Linked DNA regions of Nothobranchius furzeri. The protein of the gene in region 2 purifies or fractionates together with the protein of the main gene of each other region. This does not show direct contact. Links are inferred from orthologs where the notes say so. Each region holds a gene or a part of one and is shown on either strand. Other genes may lie near its edges. The genes, in order: stk40 and trib1.

Region 1 (3,819 bases), on a different chromosome or scaffold from region 2:
GGGGACACACCGGCCGCGGAAGCGCCGCGAAAATGGGACCGCCTTCATTCGGTGCCCTTGTTAAGCTATTCTAAGCGTCTGATCTGAACTGAGAAACGGCGAGCAGCGAACGAATTTCGTGAGCGATTCGCTTCTCGGCGCTTCCGCGGCCGGTGTGTCCCCGGCGTTATTCTTGTGTGTGAAAGTGAACTGACTGTGCCTGGGACATCTCATTTTGTTAGATGTTGAAGCCAAATTTGCATTTCAAAGTTAAACCTCCTGAATGTTGTTTTTAAGTTCAGTCAGAGAATGCCGTTACTGCCCTTCGATCTGCATTTAATAAAGTGTCAAAAATGGCCATGTATTTTTTCTAACATTTTTTAAATGTGTAAGCACAATGTTTCAAAGGAAATATTGCCATGAGTTTAGTAATTAACAAACAAATTTGCTAAGTACATAAATAAAAACGGGGTGCAATAATATCGCATACCGCAATATTGAGCTGCCCTGACTCACTGCAGGGGGAATTCCTCAACCGCGACAGCCCTAGTCTCCGCTTTGTTTTGGTTGTTTTGGCGTTGACATCATGCTAGCACGCAACGTTCTGTGACTCTTAAAAAAACAGTAAAACGGTGAGAAACGCTGGCAGCGAAGGCCGTTAGCGATCAGGAAACGGCTGGCAGTGAATGAGTTAACGATATTGTGTTATGATACCAAAGCAAAATTTAAAAGCACTGTGTTTGTTTTCTAACGGAGAATATACATGCCCTTATTTACTGTGTTTCTTTTGTTTGGTATAATTCAAACTCCGACTGCTAGGTGGCAGCGGTTCTGACTGCTTTCATTGTGACGGAACCACGAGATCTCACGATAACTCTGGATGTGTCTTGGAAGTAGCCTGGCCTGCCAGACTCCTCCTCTGTTTAATTCTGCACAGAGAAAGGGTCTGGCAACTCTCCTGTTCAAATAACCCCACCTCGTGAGAATTCTAACCGAGCCAATCAACACTGAGTAGCATACGACACACACCATAACGCCGAGTTTGTCGAACATGGCGACTGAAGCGGAGTTCGCTGCGCCTCTTTCCCCTGTTCTCAATGACTTGGACACAACAAGTAGACGCGCTAAAAGTCTTTCTTCTAAAGAAAGATGTTTGCGCTGTCCCCAGACTCCATTTTAACTACAGCTAAACAACTACAGGGTCCCGGACGTCACACACAGCGACGCTCAGTTCCTCATAAACAATAAAGACAGCAGCGGAGTTCGCTGCAGCTCTTTCCTCTGTTCTAAATGACTTGAATGTCTCTAAAACCACAATTAGAGGCGCTAAAAGCCTTTCTTCTAAAAAGAAATAAAAGATGTTTGCACCGTTGTTAGACGCTGTTTTTTTTTTTACTACAGCTAGAAAACTACAGCGCCGTGCGATATGGTCGGGATTTCAGTCTTTTTTTCTGATTGGTTACTTTTGAGCTGCCTAGTCCCGCCCCTCATGCGCCTCTCTGCCTGTGAGTTACCAGACTCTCTTCTCTGTGCAGATTTAAACAGAGGACGAGTCTAGCAGGCCAGGCTATCTTGGAAGCATCTGGCCTGATATTCCGATTAAGTCCAGCCTCAAATATCTCATGGCTTTCAGTATCCTTTTTCTCCAACGTCACCTGATCACATGGGTCTGCCATATCAGATGGCAAAGGCACAGTAAACAGTGAGCAAAACAATGTTTAGTATGGCTTCATCTAGTTCAAGCCCAGTTCACTTGTGGGCCGACTTTGTCTGCTAGTTCTGCCAACTGCACAGCAGCTATTACCATTTTACTGTGAAAACAACTAAATGAAAGCAATAAAAGCCACAAACTGGTTTGTTTTGACTAGCTTCAATGAAGTTTCAACATGTGTGAACAGTCTTTTTACTGTCCGCCATGTTTAAGGGGGTGGTCCCATGAAGAGCAGCCTGATGTCACGTGCAAAGGGTCAATATGTCGTACCGCCTCCCCTGTAACGTTATACAAATGGCATCACCAGATACTCGCACATGTTAGAGGTTTGGAGACACCTTGATTGGTTGTCACCCAGACATTTAAATATTTCCATCCAGTGAAAACTTGGGATGACTGCAGGGTGGCTCATTCCTCTCGATGTGTGGCTCTACTTCCTCATTACGAGAAACAGATGGTGTTTCATCACACAGACGTTCGGTATCAGCTGAAAAGAATGCACACCTCTCACTCGCTGGCTTCAGGAAGGTAAAGGAGATCGGCTCGGTCGGTTAAAGTAGCTTAACAGCGATGTGTCACACTCACTGGCATGCACAACCCTGCTTCCTTATCGCCCTGCCCACAAACCTGGTGGCTTTTCTTTTATATTTTACATTTCTGCCTTGGTAAAACATGCACTCCCTTTTAAAGTGAGGTCTGTATAGATAAGCCGGCTGTGCAGATTAAAAATCCAGGGATTTTCTAAACCCAAGTCCACCGCTGCAGGATTAAAGAGACCAACCATGAAGACTTCTGTTTGGCTCGTTTTGTGCTTTTATGGAGATTGAATCTGAGGTGTTGCCCTTGACACCAACCGCCATTATTTTAAATGGAACCTTAATGGGTTTGCTTTAGCATTGAGGTGTGTAAATGTGTGTGGAGGGGGCAGGAGCTGCCCTGAACTCTCTTTACTCATGACCAGCCTGCGTGACCTCTGCTGAAGCTCTACGTTCGCTCTTAATTCTTCATTAATGCCGTTTTTCTTAAATTACCGTCTAGATTCTAGACTTTATGACACAAAGTGTTACGATCTACCTTTTAGAATGTGTCTTTACCACCAGGTGTGTGTTTTCCCTCTTACTTGACTATCTTTAGCCCACAAACTAATCAGATTTGTTTCCTCGTAGAGCTCCAGGATGTCCAAGCGGCGCTCGTCAGAGAGGGGAGCTGGAGAGACGTCGAGGGCCAGCCAGCTGCAGTGTCCCGGGATAAATGGCAGTAATGCCAAGAGAGCTGGCCCCTTCATCCTTGGTATGGGATTTTATTACCACGTTTTACCCAAAGTGTTCAGAAGAAGTGGCAGCATTTATTTGCAGAAAACTCGGGAGAACTGTGAGCTGCGGAGGGCTTACCTACTCCCGCCTGGGACAAGAATTTGAGGAATTTTGCTGATCCCCATGACATTGGCCAGAAAGGCCCAAGTCTGAGTTGGAACAACTTTTCTTCCTCCATTCTTTCTCGTTGCCTGTTTGTTTTTCTGTGCCTAAGCTATTTGCAGCATTTGGTGCCAAAGGCAACGTTACACGTTGGGTGTTGATGGGCACACGCACATGGAGCCCTTAATGAGTTACAGTGAGAGCACATGCTCTTTTGCTTACACAGCTGTTCTTTTCCTTACCCTTGCAGGACCTCGCCTGGGCAACTCACCGGTGCCGAGCATAGTTCAGTGTTTGGCCAGAAAAGACGGCACAGACGACTTCTATCAGCTGAAAGTAAGTCTGTCGGAGTCTGTGCGTTCTTTGCTGCGATCGCTGTTTCACTTTTGTTCACACAGTCGCTTAAACCTCAACAGGCGATGCAGAGTCAAAGCAGTAATGTCTCAGAAGATCCTCGAACCTTTGACCTTTCTTTGGTGTTCGTTTTATTGCCCGTCTTTCACAGCAGAATGTGAGCCTGGAAGCATCTTTACTAGGATCATCTGATGCTTTTCTAACAACTCGGGGGGGCTCTAAAGTAGGGTGAGAGGATAAAGAAGGAAAGGAAAGCCGTTCACCTGGACGTCCTCTCCAAAATCACCATTTGGGTGGTGAAGCCCGGGGCACACTGTGCTTTTCAGCTGTTGCACATGACTGTTTCACGCCACGAGGCAC
Region 2 (4,268 bases):
AACTTGACCGGTAGCCAATGTAAAGAATATAAAACCGGTGTTATGTGAGCCCTTCTATTGGTTCCTGTTAAAAGCCTTTCTGCAGCGTTCTGGACCAACTGGAGACGACTGACATCTGATTTGTTAAAACAAGTAAAGATAGAATTACAATAATATAAACGAGAAGAAATAAAAGCATGGATAATCATCTCCAAGTCCGATTTTGAAGTAAAAGCTCTCAATTTGGAAATGTTTCGCAAATGATAAAAAGCAGTTTTTTACTAAACGTTTTGAGTGGCAGCTCAAAGACATGGATTGGTCAAGAAGAACACCAAGGTTTCTGAGACTGGTCTGGACTGAGGAGCTCAGGGAACCGAGGTGTTTGATTAAAAGCACTTTCTGTTCAGGAGCAATGATCAGTGTTTCGGTCTTGCTTGAGTTCAACTGAAGACAGTTACTGGCTAGTCCTTAATATGCTCAATGCAATCAAGTAGATCAGCTAACTTGTTAAACTCTGTGTCCTTGAAAGAGCAGTACAGTTGAATGCCATCTGCATATAAATGGTAGGACACTTTAGTAAAGCTTTTAATAATCTCCCCAAGAGGGCAAATATATAAAAGGAACAAAACTGGGCCAAGGACCGAGCCCTGGGGAACACCGTGAAGCAAAAATGTGACTTCAGACCTAATCTTGTTTACACATACAGAGAATGTTCTGTTATTTAAATAGGAAGAAAACCACTTCAGAACCGTACCAGAAATTCCTAGGACATTGTGTAGTCGATGTAACAGAATTTTATGGTCAACCGTGTCAAAAGCTGAAGACAAATCCAATAAAACCAGTACAGTACATGGGCCAGAGTCAGTACATCATTAGATACCTTTAACAGAGCTGTTTCAGTGGAACAGTGCATCTTACGAAAGCCTGATTGGAACTTATCTAAAACATTATTAAGATAAGATGACTGCTTAGCTATTTGTGTTAGCAAGCAGTTCATCAAGTGTTCTTAAGGAAATGACCAGCGACTGTGAACGCTGCACCTCACCGAAGCTCATTTCCTCATTTTTAATTTAATTTTCCACAAAAAAATATTTAAAAATCAATCTTTAATCAATTAACGGCAATTTGGGGGTGGGCAGTGGGGGGGGGGTGCCCCCCTCTGACCTGACTTAGGGGCACCCCTGTTGAAAGTGAGATGACATTCATCTTCTTCAGGAGCTTTTTATTCTAATCACAAGAGGAAGACAAGTTCTCCTGTTTGCTGCTCTAACTGGTGATAAATGGCAACATGAGCTGAAGATCAGAAAATTCCGAGTTTGTTAATGATCGTCTGAAACGTGATGAGGTGTGAGAGGCGGGTCTCATTCCCGGTGGTGCGTTCACGTTCTTGTTTATGTATCAGCGGAATCGCAGAGCTCAGTGCAGGAATGTTGAGACTCTCAACATCCTGATTTCTCTGAAAGGTAAAATCTAGCGTCACCAGACACGCGCACAGTGAGCTGGAGTCGGTGCCGCTACAGGATTGCTCAACGCTTGTGTCATCAGGAGGCTGGACTGGTCGGGCGGAGTGTTTCAGAGCTCATCACCGGAGCTTCTCACTCTCAGCCTCTCTCTGAGTGTGAGGCGGTCTCCCCTCCTCTCCCCCGCTTTCTCTTTCTCTCCCTCTCTCTCTTTTCTTTTTTTTCCCTCCTTGATTGTGGATTTTTTTTCTGATCCAAACCTCAAAAGGAAGAAGAAGGACGCGGTCTGGATTATCAGCCAACGCGTAAAGTTTGATTTGTGCCAGCTATGAGACGGAGTGGGTTCTAACCACCAAGGGACGCATCTTTTTGCTTGATTTTATTCACATCTATATCATTTTATCTTCATGGCGAGCCGGTCGTTCAGGATGAACTTGCCGTGGAGCAGTCCTGCACCCTGCACCCGGAGAGTCGCGCACAAGCGGCTGGACTCGGACGACCAGCCGCCGGCCAAGTGCGCCCGGCTGAGCGCTGAGGCGGGGGACGCGCAGGGACTCCTGGGTACGTCACCCGGGTCCCCGCTCAACCCCGCGGCCAACCCGGCTCCCCACCACCAGGGACCGTCCAGGATAGGTCCGTTCCTCCTGCTGCCGCTCGCGGACCGGGAGAGCATGCACAGTGCGATGAACACCGATACTGGCGATGAGCTGCTGTGCAAGGTATGCGCAATCAGGTCATTGTGCAATTTCTTTGAATGAATGATGTTGCTCAACAGTCCGTCTGACACGCTATCCGTATTTAGCTCACCTTTTCAGCAAAATGTCATCCTCACGCTCCCTTTGCGTAATAATGTTTCTTAATGCTTCCCCCCTTATAACCAGAAGTCTTTTAAATACGCAATCAAGACCAGCCGTCGCCTTTCTGCATGTTGTGGAAACAGTCTCCCATGCTCAGCATTCACACTGTCTCTCAACTCGGCTCATTTGCATACACGTCACTGCCAAGCCGTGACAGTAAAATGCAACATGTTCAGCAGAATAATAATAATGCAAGATTAGAATCTATCCAGATAAAAACTCATATCTGCACCAGTATGAGGCATCAGGTGACGTAATGCATTAAAAAAATCCCAGCCTGATTTAGCTTCAAGTAATGGTGACCGTCATAAGTATTCACGATTAAATATGAATATCTAAATCTAAATATTTAGAATAAAAATCTAAATATTAAGCAATTAATGCAAAATATTTACAATCAAATCGAAACATTATATTTTTAAGGCTAAATTCTAAATATTTACAATGAAATCTAAATATTAAGAAATCAATTCTGAATATTTAGAATCCTGTCTAAATATAAGTTATGTCTAAATATTTAAGACAAAAATCTAAATATTTATTATAAAAATCTAAAATTTAAGCAATGAATTCAAAATATTTAGAATCAAAAATGAATATGAAAAGTTACTTCTAAACATTGAAGTTTCTAACCAAAACATTTATAATCCAATCTAAATAAGTAATCAAATCAAACATTTAGAATACAATTACATTTAGTACATAAAGTTCCATCTAATTAGCAACAATCTAATCAAAATATTTATATTCATGTAAAAATCTAAATATTTAGAATCAAATACAACAACAGTGCTCAAATTCATATACACCTGCAGAATTTTGTTTAAACAATTGTTGCTTTCTGTAAATCCTATAAACTTTGTTTCACATATCACTCCTAAACCCACTTTTTTTTAGGTTAATTCCTTTTCACAAGCCAGAATTCCAACAGTCACATTTTCTAATTGGTGCCCCATACTCCAGATTCTGTTTAGGTTTGCATGAAAACAAAATCCCTGGAGGCCTTTTTGATTATGAATTCAATCATTTAACAAAACACTTTTGCAAAAAGCAGCCGTTGAAAATCATACATGTAATATATATTTATATTTGCCCACTTGTTACCTCCTATGATAGGAAGACTGACTCTTATTGCCTCCTTCCTTCATGTTTCCACTCTGCATCCCTACACCTCCCCTTCCTCCTCTCTGATCTCTCCGCTAGGTCTTTGACATGGCAGCCTACCTGGAGAAGATCAGAGCCTACGGGCTTCTACCAGCTCACAGAAACGTGGCTGGCATCCGGGACATCATCCTTGGTGAACGCAAGGCCTACATCTTCCTGGACAAAGACTTTGGGGACATGCACACCTTGGTGAAGAGCTGTCGCCGGCTGGATGAGGGACACGCCTGCAGGCTCTTCCGCCAGGTGGCTCAGGCTGTGGCGCACTGCCACCAGAAGGGAATCGTGCTGGGTGACCTCAAACTGCGCAAGTTTGTCTTTGCAGATGAGAAAAGGTGAGCCGATCTGATGTTTTCTTTATGGAGGCGAGAACCGTTGTGCTTTTATGTTGATTCAACCAGCAGAAAGCACAGAAGATGACTTTTAGGTTTTTAAATGATCACACACAAAAATTCAGCTTGAATTTCACGTCGAAAGAAGTTCGACCTTTGGGACAAAGTTGGCTGCAATCTGCAAATTTACCACTAGATGTCACTACATCCTGAAAGATGTTCCATGGACGAAAAAACACTAAGATTTGATTTCAACTTTTCTTTCTTTTCTGAGCTAGTTCTAAGATCAATCCTGAGAATGACCTTGTTTGGATGCTCCGGCTGCAGAATAGTGGCACAAACATGGCAGCAGCTGATCCGCTCAGACCATGTGTGCAGATTCAGACGTGGGAACAGATAGAGTAGGAGGTTCTGTACTTGTGGAGGCACACCGCTCAGCTTTCCAGATTTTCTCCCTCTCTTGTCTGTCTCCCTTTTCT

What was found.
Region 1: the proteins of trib1 (region 2) and stk40 purify together in Homo sapiens (affinity purification with mass spectrometry; 3 studies listed by BioGRID and IntAct, counting the BioPlex papers as one, with this or other methods). This does not show direct contact. The link is inferred for Nothobranchius furzeri from reciprocal best matches to the Homo sapiens genes TRIB1 and STK40.

The regions. Positions count from the first base shown.
Region 1 is NC_091745.1:70,998,806-71,002,624, reverse strand, and holds part of stk40 (serine/threonine-protein kinase 40), read left to right. Parts: intron 1-1,906; exon of another isoform or gene 1,907-2,110; coding exon of another isoform or gene 2,111-2,218; intron 2,219-2,856; coding exon 2,857-2,980; intron 2,981-3,355; coding exon 3,356-3,441; intron 3,442-3,819. UniProt on the Homo sapiens protein: May be a negative regulator of NF-kappa-B and p53-mediated gene transcription.
Region 2 is NC_091759.1:11,412-15,679, reverse strand, and holds the start of trib1 (tribbles homolog 1), read left to right. Parts: upstream 1-1,264; 5' UTR 1,265-1,846; coding exon 1,847-2,158; intron 2,159-3,499; coding exon 3,500-3,792; intron 3,793-4,268. UniProt on the Homo sapiens protein: Adapter protein involved in protein degradation by interacting with COP1 ubiquitin ligase. The COP1-binding motif is masked by autoinhibitory interactions with the protein kinase domain.